6 linked regions of the Rattus norvegicus genome follow. The protein of the gene in region 6 interacts with the protein of the main gene of each other region in a pairwise test. Links are inferred from orthologs where the notes say so. Each region holds a gene or a part of one and is shown on either strand. Other genes may lie near its edges.

Region 1 (3,904 bases), on a different chromosome or scaffold from region 6:
GGACAGCTTTAAATAAAAGGTAGTAAACAAATAAATGGCAGTATACACATCTTAACCATGGTTTCCAGGAAAAGAGGAAGAGGTTTTTCTAACTGTTACACTATAGAGCAAAGAAAGTGCTTCTCTTCTTACTCTTGGTAACATCAACACTTTCATGGAAAGCGCTCTGAATTAGAAACTGTCAATGATTTAAGGGACACTGACTTCCCACGCACTGGTATTGAGTATGCTCCATTGTGACATTCTCCAGAATGGAGACTCATTCTGAGTTACTGCCTGACAATGTGGTATGCAAAAGCTATTAGATAAACAACAAAATTTATTATATATGTGAATACATATAAAAAATCCCAGGACATGTGAATTTGTGTAGACACTTTGTGTCACTGAAAAGAACACTTAGAGACTTATATTCCAGGATGGTGATACTTATTTCTACATCCACATGTGGTCCTTCATCACTAAATGATGGATAGTCCGGGACCTCGTTAGATGTAGTTGATGTAGACTTGCTTAAACTAGATGACAGAAGATACTGTACACTTAGTGTACATTGTTGTGCACGCTCTGCTTTTACAGGACAGGCAGTATAACACCTTGTTTGTAACACTGTTACCATGGTTACCGTACCACTAGACTATAGGAATTTGTTTTAGCTGCATTATATTCTAATAAAACCAATCTCACATGTTACAGGACTGCATCTCAAAGCATCTGTCTGGTGGCACAGCAGTGCCTGTTCTGGGAGGCCATTTCTTATCTGTCTGTACATGCTGCCTCCAGTCCACAAAGGAAAATCTGCATCTGTGCTGTAACAATGCTGCACAAAACACATTACTTGCCCCACATGGCAACAGGCAGCAGGACAGTCAGTATAATACCTTGTTTAATATCACTGTTACCAAGGTTACCACATCAGGCAGCAGGAAGTGGCTAGGCATAGACAGGACAAGGTGGAAGACTTTCGTAACTACCTACCGAACATACTGTTTTGCATGTGACATAGTACAAATGTGTTAGCTCCCATCGAGTGAAGACAAAACCAGTAATTGGAGTAGGCTGAGTAGTGTCAGGCTGACCACTATTCTGCTGCCTGAATCCCAGAAACCAGATTATGGGAGAAGGCCTGATGGGATGATGACAATAGGCTACCAAAACCTGCCATCCAGTTACACATCCCCTACAAGAGAGCCAGAGAGGAATGACAAGAGGAAGAGACTGTGAAGATGGACGACAGGTGATGATGGGGCCATAGATCATAAAACCCTGGCAATCTCCAGGAACAGAAGAGACAGGGGTAAGACTGACTCCTTGTCAAAACCTCATCCTTGGCTTAGTGACACTGAATTTGGACATCTAGCTTCTGGTTCTGTGAGGAACACAAACAAGCAAAAAAAAAACAAAAAAAAACAAAAAAAAACCCCCCAAAAAACAGAAAACAACAACAAAAAACTACCTGAAAGATACCAGATTTGTGACAATTAGTCATGGTGACCACAGGAAACTATAGCAAGTAAGCAATTATTCCAAGCAAGACCAAAGGTGGGCAGGAACACTCATTTGTTGAGCAGTGCAGTGCCTCACAGCTCATCCACAGACATGTTTATTAGCTCTCTTTCTCTGAAGGAACCTGGCCCTCAGGCCCCCAGGCCTGGCTTACAACAGTCACACAAATAACTGGATTAGCATACTCCGGAATTAAGTTTTATTCCACAAATGAGCTTGGAAATAGAAAATAAATACTATTATAAATTCCAACATATATTCTATCTGAAAGAGATATTTCTATATAGTTTCAAGCTTAACAGAAAAGCTTAAGTTACTAGCTAAAAATGATGTCCCTAGAACTAGAGGACAGAGGGGAAGCACTGTCCCCCCAAACAACTATATCAACAAAAAATTTCTCCACCAATTTAAAGAGCCAGCTCAATTTTTTTGGAACAATTTTTCCCCTATTATAAGCTAGTCAACAATTCAGAGACAGAAATAAAAACTTTGTGTCCGTGTGCCACTCAGGAGTTCTTCAGCAGCTTCCGGTCTGACAGTGCACACAAAGGCAGAGGCATTCATAAAGCCTCTTGTTGCCTAACACTGTACTTAGCACTGATGGGGGAAAGTTCAATATGGAGCAGTAAGTATACACAGAGGGTATACTCAGTCAGGAGACACATAAGGTATCCTCACCGTCAGTCAGTACACACAGGGTATCCTCACCGTCAGTCAGTACACACAGGGTATCCTCACAGTCAATACAAACACAAGGTATCCTCATAGGATCACATGGTATCTTCCTCTCATGATACCTATACTACTAACTGACCTAAAACCAAGCTTCATTTCAGGGAATTATTGAATCTCTACTGGGGAGGAAAACAGTATACCAAACTACTATTAGCTGGGAAGTGGTACAGGATGTATATAAGTTTAGGTTCAGTTTTTCTCACATTAAAGTCAATCCCTGACTATGAATATCAGAATAAAGGTTTATAAGACACACTGACAAATATGTCTACCTTCTGATGACAGCAACTTTCAATCTGCTGCCATGGCAAGACAACTTAAAAACAGAAAGTAATTATACCTACCTGGTTATTGCTGGTGTCGTTACACCTCTCGTACGCAAAGTTGATTTCCCTCGAACCACTGGGACATCTGCATTTTCTGAACCTCCATTCAAATAAGTTAATTCCTGGAGCTGTGCTTGCCTGATTTCATCATTATAGTCCTGCACAGAAAAGATATTGACAATAGAAAAGCACTTAGAATATAAAGCAAGCATTTTTTTTTTGAAGAAAATGAGGTTAGGAAAACAGTTAAAATAGAAAATTTATTCAAAGAAAAATGAAAATGTGTTTTTTTTTTTAAAAGAAAATCATGAGTTCCCTCCCCCAGACTAAAATTACAGGTAACCTACTGTCTCTCCTTTTTTATGCATAATTTCTACTTGCGATATCTGCAATGCTACAAGGCCACAGAGCTATGACATAGACGTGGTTATTTACAGCTCTTTTCACTCATCGCCACCAAACATTTACCTACTGACTGACAGAAAGGCCTGAGGGAGGTGATCACAGCACATGCATATCAGGGAGAGGCAGTGAACATAGTTACACGCATGCATGCCTAGCTCACCCTTTTCACAAACTCGGGGACCTCACGCCTAAGGAACAGTTCTACCCACAATGAGTGAGTGAGTCTACCCACCTCAGCTATGACAATCACGATTATTAAAATAATCCTAGCACAGATATGTTCAGAGGCCCATGTTGTAGTCAATTCTAACTTGTGCTAGGTTGACACAATGCTGTACCACAATTCTGTACACACAAGGAACGTCCAGATTTATAAATTTGATAAGTAATCGGATTCCTGAAAAATCGGGACTTTTTTCTCCACACATTAAACTCTGAAACTAGGACTCTATCCTGCTTCCTTCCTCTTTGTAATGATCCTCACAGAATAAACAGATAAAACGTTATCATCACTGCTTTGTAATAAAAAGAAACATTTATAATCAAAGAAGGAAGTATAATTTAGCTGTACAATAGCCAAAGGAGTCTCTCTAAGAGGGGCCATCTGGGGAAGGGAGATCCAGTTATCAGAGAGGTAGCCCAAAGCTCCATACAGAGGAAGATCAAAAGACTGATGGACTGATGAGTGTTAAATTCCAGAAACCAGGGACTCTAGCTAAGGCAGATAGATGGGCCACCCTGACTTTAAGACCAGCCTAGGTTTCACTGAGTTCTAGGCTAGCCTGGAACACAGGTAAGACTATCACAAAAATGAATGAATGAATGAATGAATGAATGAATGAAAGAAAGAGTGAATGAATCAATAAAAAATAAGTAAATAATCAAAAATGGTGTTATATGGAAAAATTATGAAGACAATAAGGAGTCTTAGG
Region 2 (2,595 bases), on a different chromosome or scaffold from region 6:
ATACATGGTATAGTTTAAAACTTTAATATGAAATTAAATGTAAATTGCTTAAAGTTGTAATCAGTAAAAGGAGATGAGTCCCTTTGTCTCACCGCCTTTTTATAACAGTGAAGTGAGTGCTGCTGGGGACACACCACAGACGCCACAGGACGTGAGGTCAATCACCGTGGAACATTGAAAAGCCCAACAAACACCTAACTTCGGTAACTTTGGAATTATAAAAAAGTAAAAACATTTTCAAAGCAAAAGGTGACTGAACTCTTATCTGGTTATTCATGGTTAGTGGGATCACATGTGGTTAGCTAGAAGTGAATGGTAGATGAGCTCAAACAGAAGATGGGGCTCTCCCCGCACAGCACAGACTCTGGTACGTCTCTGAGGATTTGGACCTTAGTATGTCCATTTAGTAACTTGGCCATTGTTTTTCTAAGATTATTAGAATACCTAAGTATTGTATAGTCTCCAGTTTATTGTGAAAACTGTCTCCTGTATAAACACATGAACCCAAAGTCCACTGGCAGTCTTACTCACACCACGCACCTCCACAGGCATGCTACCACCACCAGGCTTCCTTCATGGCACCCAGAAAAACTGTCTTTTTCTTAGGCAAAAGACCATTTGTCAGACTGCAAAGGTAAAAGCATTCATCCATGTATCTTGTATTTATATACTCTGAGGCAGTGATACAGTCGTCGGACAATCTAATTGGTTTCACACTTCACAGCTGTAAATACAGAGACTGCAAAAGAAAAAAGAGCTAAACAGGATCCAGGTAGGGGTTGCACGTTACCTTGGTGTACGCCGGTGCTGGCAGCAGTGCCTGACTCCCGTATGTGCCTGTCTTTATAAAGGAACCCTAGTGCTCGGATGGCATGGTGGGGGCTTCCTTCCTTCTGCCACCACCATTGCCAGTAGTTATATATAAACAGGTACACAGTTCAAGTGTCTCATTTCCATTTGAGAAGTGAATGCTGCCTAATGGTGGCCAACTAGAATTATCATTGCCCTTCATAGTCATTAAATCTCACAATGCTTCAATAAAATAGTGTGTAAGAACTCACCACAATCCTCATGTGTAATGACACAAGTAACTTGTTTGGCAGAGACAGATAGAGAAGAGTTAAGCATGAACCAAAATCTGATGGAAGGTATAATGACCATATCATGGGGAACTTGGCCAACTGTAGTCTACAGTTTTCTCAGACCAGCATGGACTGTACCTAAAGGCTGTTTCACCTTTAAAAACAAAAGTAGGGCCAGGCACTTGCAAGGCTGAGGGAGGAGTACTCCAAGTTGGAGGCCAACGTCAAGCATACAGCAATTTCCAGGCCAGCCTACACATAGAGATGCCCATCTCAAAGTAAAATTTAGAAACAGAAGTGGCAGTGTATAGGACTTGTCCTTCACCGAAGCTGAGTTGAAGAAAGTTGAATTTCAACAATGATTTACACCACCGATTGAGGTCCAGACAATGAAGGAACAGTTACTCCTTTGGGTTATCAGAGGTTACCTCTCTATGACAAAATGAACTTCTATAGCTTAACAACAAACATTAAGTCAAAAGTCTACTTTTTCTTGACAGCTCAGCCAATTCTTCCCTGATGTGCTGAACAGAAAACTCATCTCTTTTCAGCTCTGCTTGCTTCAGTGCTTCCTGGTAGATCTCCTTTGCTTGTGTGTATCGTTCTAAAATAACCCAAAGAGAGGGGAGAAGAAAATATGTGTTTTCACTAGGAACCACTAGTGAGGACACTGTATGATTTGCTGAATGCTTCAAATTGACATCTAGGGCTATCTGGTGTCTTGCATACATGACAGCTGGGTGAGAGAAGCTGAGCTTACAGTAGGTGTCAGATCTAAAGTACTCAGTGCTGTGGAATTACAGTGGGCTCTCCCTTGGCCAAAGATTTCACAATGGTGTTGCATGCAGTAGAGACTTATGCTCTCAGGTTTATGGGAACTTTAAGCCCTGAGTAATGTGGAATCAGAAACTGAGGTCTTATTATATTGTGGCTGCAGAACACTGCGAATTACACCTGTGAAAACATGTCTGTAAAACAAGACCAGGACCTATCATTGCATGGTAGTCTCTGCCTTCACATGGTCGTGCAGAAATATGGAAGTTTTATGAATGAAGCAAAATTGTACTTTAACACACATGCATGTTTTTTACCCTTACTTAGCCAGTTTTTTAACTTACAGCAGTGGTTCTGCACTTTCTTAATCCTGTGACCCTTTAATACAGTTCCTCAAGTTGTGGTGACCCCCAACCATAAAATTATTTTCACTGCTATTTCATAACTGTGATTTTGCTACTGTTATGAATTGTAATGTAAATATCTGTGTTTCTAGTGGTCTCAGGCAACCCTATGAAAGAGTCCTTCGGCCCCAAGGGCCTCACCTATAGGTTGAGAACCACTGACTTAGGGGTTTCTTCATTGCCATTGTCCTCCCCAAAATCATTTCACTTCAAAGCCCAGTGATGGAAACTCTCAGAATGCAATCCGTTTCCACTGCAACCTACCTCTGTGTATCAAGATGGCAGCCAGATTGCTGAGCACCATGTGCAGCTCAGGGTGATTTATCTCCCTTGCC
Region 3 (3,904 bases), about 51 Mb from region 6:
CATCTGTAATGGGATCTGATGCCCTCCTTCTGGTGTGTCTGAACAGCTACAGTGTACTTATATATAAATTCGAGGATGCCTGGGCTAAGGTTTTTTTTTTTTTTTTGTACTTAGAAGAAAAAAATCAAATAGTAACCATACACTTGAGGAATAAAATGTTACACAAAAAGACTTTCCTCAGTCTTATTTGTGAGAGGAAAATGGAAACAATTGTCCTGTCAAATGATGACACATTAAGGTAAAACATTGTAGCATTTTTGTAAAGAAGAATTCAATCTGGTAAAAGGTGAGAGGCTTGACAACCATACATTTGTGCCTTGGTTTTTGAGAAGGATTTGCTATAGTCTAGGCTGGACAGACAACTCAATCCTGGATCACTGGAGTTATGAAGTTTGTGCCTCTGTGTTTTTCTGGTGCTGAGACTCACATATGCTCTACACAAAGCTTTACTTCGATAACATTAGTTTTAAAGGCTAGAACATGAACAACATAAATGCTATGTTTCCCAACATTTAAGGAATATATAAAAATTACTTTTATCAGCAGGAGGAACAACCATATCTAAGAACAACTAAAGGAAATAGACAACTATAACATAAGGATGTGTATGATACGGCCACTGGCTATCCAAGTGATCATAGGCTTTTTGAGTCCATTGATCTTTAAATATCAAGGTTTAAGGGATCAGGTGCATCTGGCTATTATAGCATCTGAGGTTTATTTCAGAGATGCCCAGAGCCAGAAATATCTTTTTGCAGTAAGACAGTTTTCATTGTGTTCTCCCAATGATATCAGGTCAGAACCATGTCCATCTGCAAAGTGCCTGTAAGAATGGGGCCCCTCTAAAGTTGCAGGGAACAGCAGAAAGGCAGTGATGGCTTACCAGCTTCTTCCTGGGGCCGGATTCCATGTAGTATGCATATGGATAGGTATATTGCAGGGTGTATCGACACTGGAATAAGAAAGAAAAAAGTCTTATCTTTGATTCTACTTGACCCACACATTGGGTAGCTCTTACAATTCATACCCAACCATGCAAATGATGACTCTAGACATGTGGATCTAAAAGCAACAAGGCCAGACTATGGAGATGGTGGACTACAGGAAGACAGGGAAACAGGAAACAAGACTGGCCACAGAACCACCACCCTTCATACTGACTCATAACCACCAGCTGCTCAGAACTTTTCTGTTTTTTAGTGGTCAGTAAAATCTACATCTCAATACTTATCAATTATAGACTTTCTTTTCAGTTATCCATAAATGGAACAAAGAAGAAAAAAGGCTTTAGTTTTCTCTGTTGGCAGAGACAGTTAAACAAACTGCTCAGAAGTCCTTTGGACATTGTGCTGGCTGGTTTTATGTGTGTCACCTTGACACAAGCTGGAGTTATCACAGAGAAAGGAGTCTCCCTTGAGGAAACGCCTCCATGAGACCCAGCTATATAAGGCATTCTCTCAACTACTCATCAAGGGGGGAGGACCCAGCCCATTGTGGGTGGTGCCATCCCTGGGCTGGTAGTTTTGGGTTCTATAAGAAAGCAAGCTGAGCAAGCCAGGGGAAGCAAGCCAGTAAGTAACATCCCTCCATGGCCTCTGCATCAGCTCCTGCTTCCTGACCTGCTTGAGTTCTGGTCCTGACTTCCTTTGGTGATGAACAGCAATGTAGAAGTGTACACTGAATAAACCCTTTCCTCTCCAACTTGTTACTTGGTCATGATGTTTGTGCAGGAATAGAAACCCTGACTAAGACAGACATCTAGCAAAGGGCTAAGACTTCTGGTATATTCAGCACAGGGAAATGTGGTCCTGTAGACACGCATGCAAAGCTAGTCAGGGCACCAAACTCCCCCTTCCCCCTTCTTTCAGAGATAGCCTCCCACCCTAATGTTTGCAGCCAACAGGGACTAATGGTAGAAAAGTGAGCTGGTGGATACCTTGGCCAACAGCTTGGCGGCATTCTGCAGGTACTGCCAGTCAATCCACGTTCCCAGATTGTTCATAACCCTCTCTTGAATCTTCTCGTGAATCCGCTGGTATGTTTGTGCCTCCAGCTGCAAGCTTTTGTTGTGATTTTCCCACTACAAAGCAGAGGAAGAAGGAAAAGGGTAGAGTTCCAGGAAGGTACAGAGGTCAGCAGATAAGTTTAAAACAAACACTGGCTAGTAGGCCATGTCCTCGGATTGCTCTGTCTTCTTATGGAGCACACGGGTCCTGGACATCACTCAACTAAGGGGGTACCAGGTCCTTCCCCAGCATCCTGCACAACTGAAAACCCACATCTGTAGAAGGCAATACCAAGCACGTGCAGAAGCTCCAGTCACTAACTTCCACATATGCACACAGCATCCCAGTGCTCTCACGTCGTCAACAGGCCAAGTGGAGAAAGCCAACTCTGAAAGGGCTGATGTAAGACAAGACACCTACCCTCTCAAAGTAGAACAAGTACTTCTTGAGGGCCTCCCTGGCCTGTGCTTGCTGGCTCTGGTTGACAATGTCAGGATTCTCCTTGTACCGACTACATTCATAGTACTCACTACCATGCGTCTTCCAGTCTCCTAGACACATCCAGCAGAAGTCTGCACAGAAAGGAGGGTGAAGTCATTTACCTGTACAAGACAACCACACACTCCTCCAAGGCACAGGCAGGAAAGTAGGGTGAAGAGGTAACCCCAACAGAAACTCCCAAAGTTGCCTCTTTGCAGAGGGATATACAACTCTCATTCTTGTCACAACTCACTGCTCCCCCTAATTGTTAGGACAGCCAATGGCCTATGAATTAAAAAACATACATGTTGCATGCCTTACTGTGCTGTACAAGATCACTGCTCAGCACAGTCAACACTACTGCAGGAAGCAAAACTGTGCCCAAGAGTCTCATCTGGTCATCTAGAACACAGGCTGCCTATATAAACTGCTACCTAAGCCTCACAATTCTTGCTTGTCCTAAGACCTTTATACACAAAACTGAAAATCAAATTTCTGCCTTTTTTGTGTGTGTGCATCTATGCCCCTGTACGTACATCCTATAGGACAGAGGTCAATTCTGAATGTTGTTCCTCAGGTGCTTAGTAGTCCCCCCAACCCCTCAGAGATAAGCTCTAGGCTAGCCTGGCTGGCAAGAAGTCCCAGGAATCCACCTGTCTCTGCCTTTCCAACACTGAGCACTGAGATTACAAATTGGTGCCACTACATATATACCTGCCTTTATTACCCGGGTAACAAATGGGTCATGTCACAATTATGAAATTGAGAAATTGTGTGGGAGACTATCTGAACATATCTTCAAAAAAAATTTTTTTAAAGCACTGTGGCAAAGCTATATACAGCCTTTTCCGAAAGGCAACTTAAAAAAAAAATCTCTAGTAATCCCCTTGACAGCTATCTGTCTTGGGAAAAGCCTTGACCTGAGTATGCTGGCCCAGGCCTGTGATCCACGCACTTGGGAGACACAGGTGGAGGACTGCTGCAAACCTGAGGCTGTCCGGGCCTACACAGCAGATGCTGCCCACGAAGAAAGATAAGGAAACAGTCTTGCTGGATGACTGAGGATCACGAGGTCACACCAGACGACTCAACTACATGTGTTATCAGACAGCAGTGGAATTATAACAGAATGCTCCCACCCCTCAAATCAAAAGTTGCTCTTAAGCCAGTTCCAGTGATCCCAAGTGATGGAGGTTCCCCTTTGATTCGCTGCTTTGTCTAAAGAACTCACTAAGAAGCAATGGAGACGAAAGCACAAGAAACACAGACCATGCCCCTGGACTGGAGACCAGGCCTGGACTCACCATGCTTACACTTGGAGCATTGCTGTCAGAGAGAAACAAAAAGAAGAAACACATTTAGCAGAGTACTCTGACCAAGGCCTCCATGCTTGCACACAAAGTCTACATGCTTCTACT
Region 4 (3,904 bases), on a different chromosome or scaffold from region 6:
CCTAAAACCAAGCTTAAAAACCCCGTGAGCTTTATAGCCTATGTTTTTGCTTTAATCTCTCATGACTGTCACAATTCAGAACCAGAAACAGTTAAGAGTTTGAACATATAGAGTAAATCACTGCTTGCTCTATATATTTACGAAGTGCCACATGCCAGGTATGAGACCACAGAGAACGCAGCGATGGGAGTGTGAGTGCCTGTGTCTAGGCCCCGCCCATTTCTCTTTGTACTCTTGCTTCTACTGTGTCAGGATTGGCCCAATGCACGCCTGTTCGGGAAGACAACTCCCAGGACACTCAACAGAAGAGGAGAAGAGCGACCATACCACGCAGATGCGGGACTCGAGATCGGCAGAGACAGACAGGCGGCTGAAGATGATGTGCTTAGGGTCGTAGTAGAAATCCACCTCATCCAGCTGCAGGATTGGCGGTGAGAACTTCTCAAAGCCATCAGGGAACCTATAGGAGGTGCAAGGGTGGAGTGTGCAGGCAGCCAGAAATGCCAGCTCCCCTCAGCTCCCCGGCTTAGCACTCACTTCAACACCACCTCCGACTCCTTGTCCACCGGCTTTAGTTCAGGTCTGAGAGGAGAGACGGAGAAAGGATTATTTTAACAAGACATCAAAGCAGAAAGGAGAATACTTGGGTAGAGAAGAAGGGAGACAGGAAGATGAGGGGGAAGGGTCAAGATGTATGGAACTAAAATGTATGGAGAAAACTAAAAGATGTATAGAAAAGACACAAGGAAGCCTGATACTTAGTAAGCTAATTTAAAAAATAAAGTTTGAGCTGGGCAGTGGCAGTTCACACCTTTAACCCAGTACTCAGGAAGCAGAGGGATCTCTGGGTTCAAGGTCATCCTGGACTAAAGACTGAATCCAGGGCTATCAGAAAAAGAAAAAGAAAAAGAAAAAGAAAAAGAAAAAGAAAAAAGCATCAGCAGAAGCACCCTGTGCGTGTGGTGGCTACAACTGCTCCAAGAACCTACGGGTTATAAGGGAAAGTCCCAGTGCCAGGGCTGGGCTACCTCCCTACAAGGTAATGGTCAGGAAATACCGGCAAGAGTTAGCTTAGAGAACAAAGTGTCCAGGACCATATTTCTCTCTGTCTCTACATGCGCGTGAGTGCGCACACACACACACCACACACACATACACACACACACTCAGGTTATGGCACAGAGAAAGCTAGACAGAACTGAGATGTAGCTCCTGCTAGCCAGCCCTGGTGCTGGGAGGTGCTCAGCAGGCTGCTGGGGGGAGAATGGCCACCAACAGTCTGCCTGAGCCATGGATTTGTATGCTACAGCACTGTCTAGTCTGGCCGGGTGTGCCCACCTGCAAGTCTATTACGGGATAATCAACTGCTGAGGCCTGCTCCACAGGAGGGACTTGCATGTGTACTGTAAGTCAGGCCCCAGCAGAGGTTAGAGCTGTTTGTTAAGTCATCACCACGTGACCACCAACTGCCTTCTAAATAACTACGTTTATCCCCACAGGTTGGTCAGCTGCACTCTGAGGAGCAGTAACTGCAGAGACTCCTAACTTGTCAAAGTGCTGGTGACGAGTGACTACTGAGTGCAGTCACAAACAGGATGTAGCATTGCCTCAAGGGCTCAGGGAATGTGGCAGAGACGGCAGAAGGAACTAGAGCTAGAGCGTGGGCTGGAGTGTTCTGAACAGTCCTCTGTGCATGACCTGGCCATGGCGCTCACTCAGAGCTGCCGGGGTTATTACACTGGATCTGCATGGGACGGGGCCTGTCCTGAAGGGCTGAGCTCATGAGCTCCTCCTACCAGTTTATAGGCAAGTAGCGGTTGCTAGGGAGGGAGAGACATTTTCCTCAGTAGTGTAGCCACTAGCGATCTTCTGCAAATAACACCTTACCCATACTCTTGTAAGAAATCCTAATGAAGTTAACATCATGACAAAGTCCATCACACACACACACACACACACACACACACACACACACACACACTAATAAAATCAGTAAAACAATTAACTTTACATTGAATGTGATAACATAATCCACAATTCTACCACTTAGGAGGCTGAAGCCAGCCTACATAAATGTTTTGTGTTATGTAGGGAGACCCTGACTCAACAAAATGACAAAAATTAACAAGACTTAAAAAAAATCTGTTCCTCTTACACAAGTAAATGCTCGGAGAAAACTCAGACTTGCGTGTCCCTCATCTGGTGATACTCGATATATTCTTCTGCTACACTATCTGTTAAGAAAGAATCATCTTTTTTGCAGCTAAACAAAACAAAACAAAGAACCATAATCTTGGGCTAGAGAGATGGCTCTGTGGTTAAGAACACTGGCCAATCTTCCAAAGGACCCAGGTTCAACTTCCAGCACCCACACGACAGCTCACAGCTGTCTGTAACTCCAGCTCCCAGGATCTGACACCCACGCAGACAGACATGCAGGCAAAACACCAACCATAAATAAATAAATTCCTATGCAAATGTAAGCTGGGTGTGGTGGTGCGTGCTTTCACTGCTCACGCCTGGGGCAGAAGTAGGCAGACCGCCAGAGTTCAAGTCCAACAGGCTTTACACAGCAAGCGCTGGACTACCGAAGACTATATATGGAGAGTGTGCAGTTCCCAATAAAACATTATAAAAATGGTAAGTAATAAAAACAAAAATACATGTAAATTTAAAAACTCTTTTCATTTATATGTGTATGGGTGTCCTGCATGTTTGTGTGTGTGTGACCACATGTATGCAGTGCGCGTGAGGTCAGAACAGGGTGTCAGTCCCTTTGCACGGGAATTACAGACAGCTGTGAAATGCCCTGTGGGTGCTGGGGACCAGAGCCAGCTCTTCAGCAGAGCAGCTTTCTCTGACTGCTGGGACAGCCCTTCCATGGTACAACAGCTGTAATGGCATCTATTTGCCCAGTGTGGTAACACACACCTTTAACGTAGCACTTGGGAGGCAAAGCAAATGGATCTCTATGAGTTTGAAACCAGTTTGATCTACACAGAAAATTCTGGTCAGCTAGGGCTATTGGTGAGACTGCCTCAAAACAAAAAACCAGAAAATGTTACATTTATGTTTTCTACGTGTCTGCCTGTGTGTGCACATGTGGAGGTCAGAGGACAACATGCAGGAGCTGGTTCCCCTCTTCCTCCATGAGTCCTGGGGGTGAAATTTGGACCGTTAGGTTTGCTGGCAGGCCTCCTGTCTGAATGGTTTCCCAATTTTAAAAAAAAAAAAATCCCATCTTTCAACAGATTTTTAAAAACTGTTAAGCTTGTGTTATTAACTGCGTGTTGTACATGTGCTGACTTACTGCATTGCCTGAGCTGGCCTTGAACTTGAAATCCTTGGAGTTTAGTCTTCCCTAGTGTGGAGATGACAGGTCTGAGGCCCCAGCCCCAGCTGCCAGTCTTTTCTGGGGAGCTTTTGCCCTTCACATACAGTGACCAATGCTTCCGTGTCAGAGTAGGAAGCCTTGAATTTAATCTCTCTCCCAGGGCTTCTAGAGCGATTCCTCTGAGAGTAAACCTTCACTGAGACACTTCATTAGTCACGGGACTGTTTATCAGGACTATGACCAGGTGTTGCTTTTCATCACCAGGACAGCAGAGACTGCAAGAGTTAACAAGTGCTGGCACAGACACGGAAAATGTCAGTTCCCACAGGCATATAAAACAATGTGTCTGTTTAAAACAGTCTGGCAAGCCAAAGGTAGTGATGTCAGCATGTGGGAAGCAGGCACACCTGGCACTCAAGGCTAGCCTGGGCTACAAAGTGAGGGATTGTCTCAACCTAAAAACAAAATGACTGGTCTGGACTCGCAAACACACAGGTCGGTTCTTTCTGTGCTGCACCCAACTATTCTATCCAGCCAGACTTCCCAGTCCTTTCCAGAGTCTAGCATCAA
Region 5 (3,904 bases), on a different chromosome or scaffold from region 6:
CTAGGCTGCGATGAGACGGGCTTTTGCTGTAAACAGTGAATAATCTGAGTTCAGAAAGACACTTACCCACTAAGAAATAATCTCAGACTCACTCAGATTCACTGTTTTGTGCAAATTTAAAAATAAATAAGAACCTGCACTTTTTAAACAATCAATGTTTAACTGCAAATTAAGAGGCACACAGGCACGGCGCACAGCACTAGAGCATGTGACTACCCAGTTCTGACACTGCAGCAACTTCACAGACGTAGCTGGGAGAAGGGACACAGCGAGCATGCCTGTCTACACAAGGGACACAGCCAGCATGCCTGTCTACACAAGGGACACAGCTAGCATGACTGTCTACACTTCAACCCTGTGCATCAAAGCACAGGTGACACAATCCTTCCCTCACTCAATTCTCTAAACTTTGTAGTTCTATGTTTAAATGTTTTTGTAACTTCAAACTCCTGTATTCAACAACATAGGGAGGCCAAGAAGTAGGGGCAGTATTAAGGATTTGGTTTCACTAATCAAACCAGAATGTAAGAATTTGACTCTGGTTTTTTTAGTATTTGTTCAACATTTTGTTCAAATTACAGGCATGTGTGAATGTGCAAACTGTCAGTCAAATGTGAAAAGCTTGAAAATTCACCAGTTTCTCTACCACCTGAATGTTTGAAAATATTAAAATTCCTGCCACCAGTAATCAAAACTTCTCAAGGGGCCGGATGCTGGAAATGAGCAGCCCCTGCGCACTACTCCACCCCACCGTCCCCATCAGAGCTTGCTGCAGCCCAACCTACACTGCTGCAGACTCCACCTCCGATGCTACCTGAGTAAGGAATGAGCGTCTGAGGCACTGCCCAGAACTGCTTACTGAAGCTGCTGGTGCATAGGCAGAGCAATCTGTGGAGGAACGTTAATGAATCTTTCACTCAGCAGAAGGCCCACAGGCTTGCTGGTGTCATTCAAAAGCTTGTCCAGCTGTTCAACCATGCTCTGCTCACAGCTCTTCTCACAGGAGCTTAGAACCAACTCTTTAATTTGTTCAGCACATTGAGTCCCCTGGAAAGGAAAGAGAAGGCTTGCTCTCTGCCCCAAGAGCTGGGTTCCCTCCCGCTGCCTTTACATCCTAGCGCTTCTTCGGTATGACTGCTGAAGAATTCTCCGGCCATCACTACACCTAATCACCATCCCATGATTGGTGGTAAGTCGAGTTTCTAATTAACACACACTGGAACAGCACTTCTATTCCACCTCACAAAAACAGTTGGGAACTAACTGGAAAGTTCCTTTGAAAACTGAAGGTGGACTGCGGCCCGCATCTTATTCTCAGAGAATAGGCAGCTGACATAATTTTTTATTAGAACTCATTACTAAGTCAATAAAGAGATGAGAAAACGTAAGCCCATGTTAAGGTCCCACTCTCAACTTTGGAAGCTGCTGAATAAACCCTCTGTATGCACACTGTACTGGGAGCTAAGAGACTGGCTGCAGAATCTTGCAACAGAACCTGCGTCAGAACCACCATCCCAACACTAGGCACTACGATGTTACTGATCATGCCACCAGAGTAATCAGCTTTAAGCTGGTACAAATCACTCCGGTCAAGACCGCTCCACACTGAGAAGGACAGAGCAGGAAGGAGCGCTTGCCCTGACAGCATCATCTCTGACACAAAGACTGCATCCTGACCACAGATCCGAATACCACGCAGTGAAACTAACCTTTCTTTCACTTAAATTTAAAAGGCTGATGAAGCCAAAGATCTCATCTTCATCCACTTCACCATCACTGTCTTCTGAAACATCTGTTTGCTGTTTTAAGAGGAAAATACTTCAACTTTACATTATTCGGCTGGAAAGAAGTATAACACCAATTTTCCACTTTTCAAAATCAAATCTTGTTTTTCTGCGGTCGGGTACCAGAGCAGTGAGTCCCGAGTGCAGTGTGTCAACGTTCAGAACACTCTGCCTCCAGACATTCTGGATGACATCATCCTGCGCTGCACGGCTTCATACAAGATGCTTTGAGTTTCATTTTGTGAGCCAGGGCTTCACTGAGTAGTTCTGGCTGGCCTGGGGCTCCCTAGAGACAAGGCCTGTTAATCACATACAGCAACGGTCAGAACTACACAGGGAAACCCTGACTTGAAAACCAAAAGGAAAAAGAAGACTCATGTATATCTGGGTATGGTGACCCTGACCCTTGCTTTTAATCTTAAGCAGGTGGATCTCTATGAAGTCCAGGCCAGCCAGAGCTCCCCTGTCTCAAAAGAAGATTCTAAACATTTTTTTAAAACCAGAATTTCAATATATTATTAAATCTGGGTAAGGTTGATATTCATGAGCCAGCCCATTTCTTCTATCTCCAGGAGCCTCTAACACTTTATCACCTAAAATTCACATTCACACAATGCAATTCCTGACCATTACAGAAACAATTGGGTTTACATGGCAAACACATATACCACATGGGCAAAGGGAGACAGCAAGCAGCAAGGAATGACAATGGTGAACCAACTTGAACTCCCTAGCTCTGTTCTGCCTGCTCCTCCACTAGGAGACTAAACCCCTAGCCAGTTTACTAAAGCCCTTCCTTCACATGGTGCCTGTTTGCTTGTCCAGGCCATAAACTCCCTTCTCACGGCACTCTGCCCTCAGCCTGACACACAGAAAGTACTCAAGGAATCCATGTTGAATGAATGAGATGAGATGAAACTGATCCTTCCACCCCAGAGGACGATGGGGTCTACGATGGTCCGGTGCGCCCTCGAACCTAGGACAATGGGGTCTATAATGGTCTGGTGCGCCCTCGAACCTGTTACAGCTGCCTCAGCACCATGGGCTGTTAATGCTCCTCTACAGCTCTTGGCAAAATGTTTTTGTTTGCTTGTTTTTTTTGTTTGTTTTTTTTTTGTTTTTTTTGTTTTTTTGTTTTTTTGTTTTTTTTTTTTGAGACAGAGTATCTTAGTGTAGCCCTGGCTGTCCTGGAAATAGCTCCATAGACCAGGCTGGCTTCAAACTCAGAGATCTACCAGCCTCTGTCCCTAAGTGCTGGGATTAAAGGAATGGGCTACCACTGCCCAGTTGGCAAGGATGTCTTAGGTTCAACAAAACTAGGTGAGAATGAGAAGGTGGCTCAAGAACCAGCCCTGGTCTTCCACCATCTCTTTCTGAGTTGTCCTATCCTTCAGATGACCCAGCGACAGTGCCAGGAGCCATGCAGTAATGCCCCACTCCAAGCTTCCTTGGCTCACAGAACAAAGCAGGAACTGAAGGGAATCTGACCTCTGTCCAAATGGCAGGTCCACAAACCAAGCAGATGCCTGCTGCAATTCTAAGCTGTGGAACTTTTTATAATAGAACAACAGGAAACCAGAAGAATCCCAGGGGACAGGTGGCAGAGCAGTCTTGGGGCTGGGTCCTCGTTTCCTGTGACCCTACTGAACAAGTGCTTCCTTAAGTACCCCACTCCTTGTTTTTATGAACTCTTACCGCTTTCCCCTCCCGCTGCAGCCATTCCTAGCAGCTCTCTGCCATTTCTTTTGCTCAGAGAAGCATGGCTGGCATTACCAGGGTATCTGTCCTTTGCTCTCCCATGACAATTCCGATGACGTCTGATATCAGTGACTGACATTTGAGTGACTCCAGCTGCTGCTCAGCATCCCGCACTCCAGACGCCGAGTGCGCACCCATAATTCACTCATCAGCCCTACCTACCTACCTTCTATGTGTGCCAACCTCAGCGCTCTAGCAAACTTGTTAGTCAACCTTGACCTACCCCCCACATCCCTAAGGGACCCAGTACACTACACTGTGCCTTATTTCACCTCCCAAATACCTTCTAAGTCAGACACCTTCTCTCTACCAGGGCTGATGCCTGGATTCCTGCGGTAACCTCTGGGCAGTCCTCAATAATA
Region 6 (3,904 bases):
CAAAGAGCAGCAGAGTTTACGTGTGTTGTGGTAAAGGACTAAAAGCCCCATGACAGAAATGATTAGGAAGAGGCAAGGACCCACAGGAGGGTAGCTTCGAGCAGCGAGGCCTCTTAGGGTCCCAAAAGCCAGGAAGGCAGACCTCAAGTCTTTCTGCAACAGGAGAGTGAGGACTCGAGAAAGCTGCACGTAGATTAAAGTAGGCAGAAGGCCAGTTTGCAGAGAAAGACCAGAAGTCCTTCCCTACCCAGGCTCACGTTTCAGAGCATTCCAGGGGGAAAGCCAGGGGTGGTCTATACTCAGTGGGATGGAAATGACCAGTAGAAGGGTAATTAGCACCTCCGAGTTTTTCTGTTTGCTTTTCTAGCCTTCACCAATTCTTCTGAGTGCTGTTTCTCTTTCTAACTATCTGTCCCTAGTTGCTCCCCCACCCTCTGGGGACAGACTTCAAATGCCCAGGCTGGTAACATTCCCCTAGACCATCCCCATCCCACACTGAACACAGCCTAGGCACTACAGACAAGGGCTTGCCCCTGTGAGGTCAGGCGGAGCTCAGTCCTGGCATGGGTTACCACACAGCCAGGGACAAGACAGGTCTCTCATTTGCACAGGAGCTCACTTTCCAAATATTCATCAGATGGTTTCTGTTTGCAGACCCAGACCCAGTCCTACCTCAGTTTTCCCAGCTACTTACACCACCACGTAGGGCCACGGTTCAGAGCTATCCTTGCAGGTAGGAAGGTTGGTAGCTCCATACAGAGTGACCATGACAGTCTCCTTATTACAGGGAGCCAGGTAGTTGGTGTCAGGATATGGGTCCAGAGAGGTATCCAGGCGGTCCTGTGGTTCTTCAGGAACCTGTGGGGAAAGCCAGGGCTAAGTGGACTCTTTTGATGGAGTATTTCTCTTTACTGTTACTGGTAACTTCTACCAGGTGGGTCAAAACTTTCCATGGTATAATTTACAAAACAAAACAGAAATCATGAAGAAATTTCATAAAAACTGGTGTGGTGGTGCACACCAGCCCTCAAGAGGCAGGAGCATTGGAAGGACCAGAAGTTCAGGGTCATCTTTGGCTCCTCCGGTTTGAGGCCAGCCTGGGCTACACGAGACCTTGTTACAAAACTACAGACGTGTCAGTGAGTTAGCTCAACCTTTGCTGTGTGAGCCTGATGGCGAGAATTGGATTGTGGGAACCCATGGTGGGAAGTTAATACTTCTAAAAATGTTTTCTCTGGTCTCCACACGCACGCCGTGGCACGCACGCTCTTGCACTCACCCACACGTATACAATAATAGTAAATAAAATAAAAATGATATGATTGGAAAATACAAGGTTTACATTTCAGATAAGCCTATGACTTTGTGTTTAGCTGTGTTCACAGACAGTCTTGCCTGCAGGAGTCTGGATGTGGCCCAGGGCTAGTGGCTGGATAGGCCCGACTGACCAGTACCTTTTCCTCTCTGTAACATTACCTGCTCCCCCAACTACAGAACAGTAGCCTAGGAAGCCATTTTCTCTCTACTTCTGTACTTCTCTCTACCTCTTGCTTCTTCCTTAGCCTTTGGTGTGCCCCCGTGTGCAGCAGAAGTCAGCCCACCTTAGTTTGTAAGCAATCTGTCTGTCCTCCGGTTTCTGCTCCTGCTTTTACCTCTGTAACTCCTCCGTGCCACATGCTCCTCAGGTCCTAGTGACCTCTACCTTTCTTCTTTCCTATATCTTTACCTTAGACCACCTCTGTCATCTCACATATGGGGACTGGGACCTGACATGATGCACCACTCTGCCCCGCCCTCCTGACTCCTAGCATGGGAAGAGAAGGCAGCATGGCTTAGCCCAGGTACATCTAGGAATGCTACTTCATTCAGATTCTCAGGACCATTGTACTGCATGGTGAGCGCAGCAGAAGCCAGGCTCCCTTAATCGTCCTAGCAGCCCTTCCCCACCTCAGCCTTTGTCTGGTATTTTCATCACCTGGGCAGAAATTTCCAAAAGATTTCAAACTCCACATCCCCTGACCCATCCCTCACGTGCTGCAGACTGTGGTCCCTGCCTAACAAGTTGTCTCATTAGGAGGTGAGAACAGGGCTTCCCAGCCCTAGATGTGCCAGCTCTGTAGAGACTTCTCCCCTTCCTATGACTGAGGATTAAACCTGCTCCCTCCCCCAACAGGACCCAGCAGGGCCTGTCACCATCTGCAGAGGTGTTGATGAGAGTTAACTCCCCCCCCCACACACACACATGGCAAGGGTAGGGGGAAGGGAGGGGGGAGCCCTGCTAGTGGAGGAGGGGAGCATTCACAGACCAATGCCTCTCCTAGATCAGAGGACTTCTTCTAGTGTACTAGCCCACATAACCAGAGGTCGCCTAGCAGGTTTGTTTTCCTGTTCTGGTACAGGAGTGACAGCAGCTGACAAGCCAGGAGGCTCCTCTGTCCCTTCTGAGATGCGCCGGCACAGAGCCGTTTCCCTGCACTCCGGTGGGAGCATCTAGAATGATTTCTGATTCAGCTTTTCCAGGACTTGGTGTGACTAAAGTTCTCTGAAGTTAGACTAGGAGAGGTAACTGATGTCCCTTGTACTGCCAGATGGACACCCTTGCCACTGCGAGGGCGCAAGCCTACCGTGGCACTCTAGGGGGGGCGGGGGTTACAGAAGCGAAGGTCCCTTAGCATGATCGTTGTCTATGGGCTTCCCTGCCTCCTTGGCAGCTCTGGAGGCCACCAGGCCTCTGCCAGGTCCTCCGATTGGATCTCTTCCTTCCCCGTCTCCTCCCTTTCAGGACAGATTTCCAGGAAACATAGCTTGGAGAGAGTTGGGTAGGGACACTTGTGCTTCACTTGTGTGCTTGAGGCCAGCTGTTAGTCAGGTACCTCTTGAAGCCTGTAGGCATGTACCCCATGGATGTACTGGGTGGGGGTCCAAGGTGTGGGTTGTAGAGGGGACAGGCAGTGAGCCAGGGCACCTTTGCCTCTGTCCTTGCTCGTGGGTCCCTGCATCAGGACCAATGTGTTCTGCTGCCTCTGCCCCTGGTCACATGGAAGAATTTGTGAAGGAATAGGATATGTATCTACCGATGCCGACACCTATACCTACGTATACTAGGTTACAAGGTGAGGAGAGGAGCTGGGGCTGGACAGATGGCTCAGTGGTTAAGAGCACTGACTGCTCTTCCAGAAGTCCTGAGTTCAATTCCCAGCAACCACATGGTGGCTCACAACCATCTGTAATGGGATCTGATGCCCTCTTCTGGTGTGCATGAAAGCGGCAGCTACAGTGTACTCACATACATACAATAAATAAATCTTAACACAACAACAACAACAACAGCAACAACAACAGCAACAACAACAACAACAACAACAAAACAGAAAACAAGGTGAGGAGAAAACTGAGTGAAGGTGCTGACCCTGGGCAGAGAAGCTTCAGAATCTTCTTCCATGAAAGCAGAGCTCTATGCTCACCACAGCTCTCAGGCCCTGCTCTTGCTCACCCATGCAATGACTGTAGACAGCAGGCTAGTGGTAAGCTCAAAGCCTGCCCATTTCCAAGCAGAGTTCCTTTGGCCACCCCTTAGGATTTGGGCTCTAGGCAGGCTTGAAAACTGCTGATCTCAGCGCATCATGGTGTCCTTGGGAATCCCAGAATGTTCTTTGCTTGGGTCAGCATTGGATGTGTGAGGGAGCATGAGAGCAGGAAGGGAGGAGCAGCAGACAAGCCAAGGCTCACAGAGGTGGGGGTGGAGAGGGAGGTACAGGGAGTGGGCTTCTGGCAGAGACCAGGATGAAACCAGACTCTTCTCCCATTCTATTCCCTCTTCCCAGAAACCCGGGAAGCAACAGGAAGCTATGAAGCCCAGATCTCTCCTCTAGAAGGGTCCACATCTGAAAACATACCAGCTAGA

The links. The genes of interacting proteins can lie anywhere in the genome.
Region 1: the proteins of Ccdc33 (region 6) and Khdrbs3 interact in a two-hybrid assay, tested with the Homo sapiens proteins (2 studies listed by BioGRID and IntAct). The link is inferred for Rattus norvegicus from reciprocal best matches to the Homo sapiens genes CCDC33 and KHDRBS3.
Region 2: the proteins of Ccdc33 (region 6) and Ttc19 interact in a two-hybrid assay, tested with the Homo sapiens proteins (2 studies listed by BioGRID and IntAct). The two-hybrid records come from large-scale screens. The link is inferred for Rattus norvegicus from reciprocal best matches to the Homo sapiens genes CCDC33 and TTC19.
Region 3: the proteins of Ccdc33 (region 6) and Arih2 interact in a two-hybrid assay, tested with the Homo sapiens proteins (2 studies listed by BioGRID and IntAct). The two-hybrid records come from large-scale screens. The link is inferred for Rattus norvegicus from reciprocal best matches to the Homo sapiens genes CCDC33 and ARIH2.
Region 4: the proteins of Ccdc33 (region 6) and Abcf3 interact in a two-hybrid assay, tested with the Homo sapiens proteins (2 studies listed by BioGRID and IntAct). The two-hybrid records come from large-scale screens. The link is inferred for Rattus norvegicus from reciprocal best matches to the Homo sapiens genes CCDC33 and ABCF3.
Region 5: the proteins of Ccdc33 (region 6) and Bccip interact in a two-hybrid assay, tested with the Homo sapiens proteins (3 studies listed by BioGRID and IntAct). The two-hybrid records come from large-scale screens. The link is inferred for Rattus norvegicus from reciprocal best matches to the Homo sapiens genes CCDC33 and BCCIP.

The regions. Positions count from the first base shown.
Region 1 is NC_086025.1:102,813,574-102,817,477, reverse strand, and holds part of Khdrbs3 (KH domain-containing, RNA-binding, signal transduction-associated protein 3), read right to left. Parts: intron 2,726-3,904; coding exon 2,586-2,725; intron 1-2,585. UniProt on the Homo sapiens protein: RNA-binding protein that plays a role in the regulation of alternative splicing and influences mRNA splice site selection and exon inclusion. Binds preferentially to the 5'-[AU]UAAA-3' motif in vitro.
Region 2 is NC_086028.1:47,494,964-47,497,558, reverse strand, and holds the end of Ttc19 (tetratricopeptide repeat protein 19, mitochondrial), read right to left. Parts: coding exon 2,525-2,595; intron 1,687-2,524; coding exon 1,553-1,686; 3' UTR 636-1,552; downstream 1-635. UniProt on the Homo sapiens protein: Required for the preservation of the structural and functional integrity of mitochondrial respiratory complex III by allowing the physiological turnover of the Rieske protein UQCRFS1.
Region 3 is NC_086026.1:118,178,650-118,182,553, forward strand, and holds part of Arih2 (E3 ubiquitin-protein ligase ARIH2), read right to left. Parts: intron 3,813-3,904; coding exon 3,791-3,812; intron 2,579-3,790; coding exon 2,427-2,578; intron 2,081-2,426; coding exon 1,937-2,080; intron 953-1,936; coding exon 884-952; intron 1-883.
Region 4 is NC_086029.1:93,846,461-93,850,364, forward strand, and holds part of Abcf3 (ATP-binding cassette sub-family F member 3), read right to left. Parts: intron 1,981-3,904; exon of another isoform or gene 583-1,980; coding exon 538-582; exon of another isoform or gene 461-537; coding exon 328-460; exon of another isoform or gene 253-327; intron 1-252.
Region 5 is NC_086019.1:197,948,766-197,952,669, reverse strand, and holds part of Bccip (BRCA2 and CDKN1A-interacting protein), read right to left. Parts: intron 1,800-3,904; coding exon 1,710-1,799; intron 1,048-1,709; coding exon 860-1,047; intron 1-859. UniProt on the Homo sapiens protein: During interphase, required for microtubule organizing and anchoring activities. During mitosis, required for the organization and stabilization of the spindle pole.
Region 6 is NC_086026.1:67,406,618-67,410,521, forward strand, and holds part of Ccdc33 (coiled-coil domain-containing protein 33), read right to left. Parts: intron 859-3,904; coding exon 695-858; intron 1-694.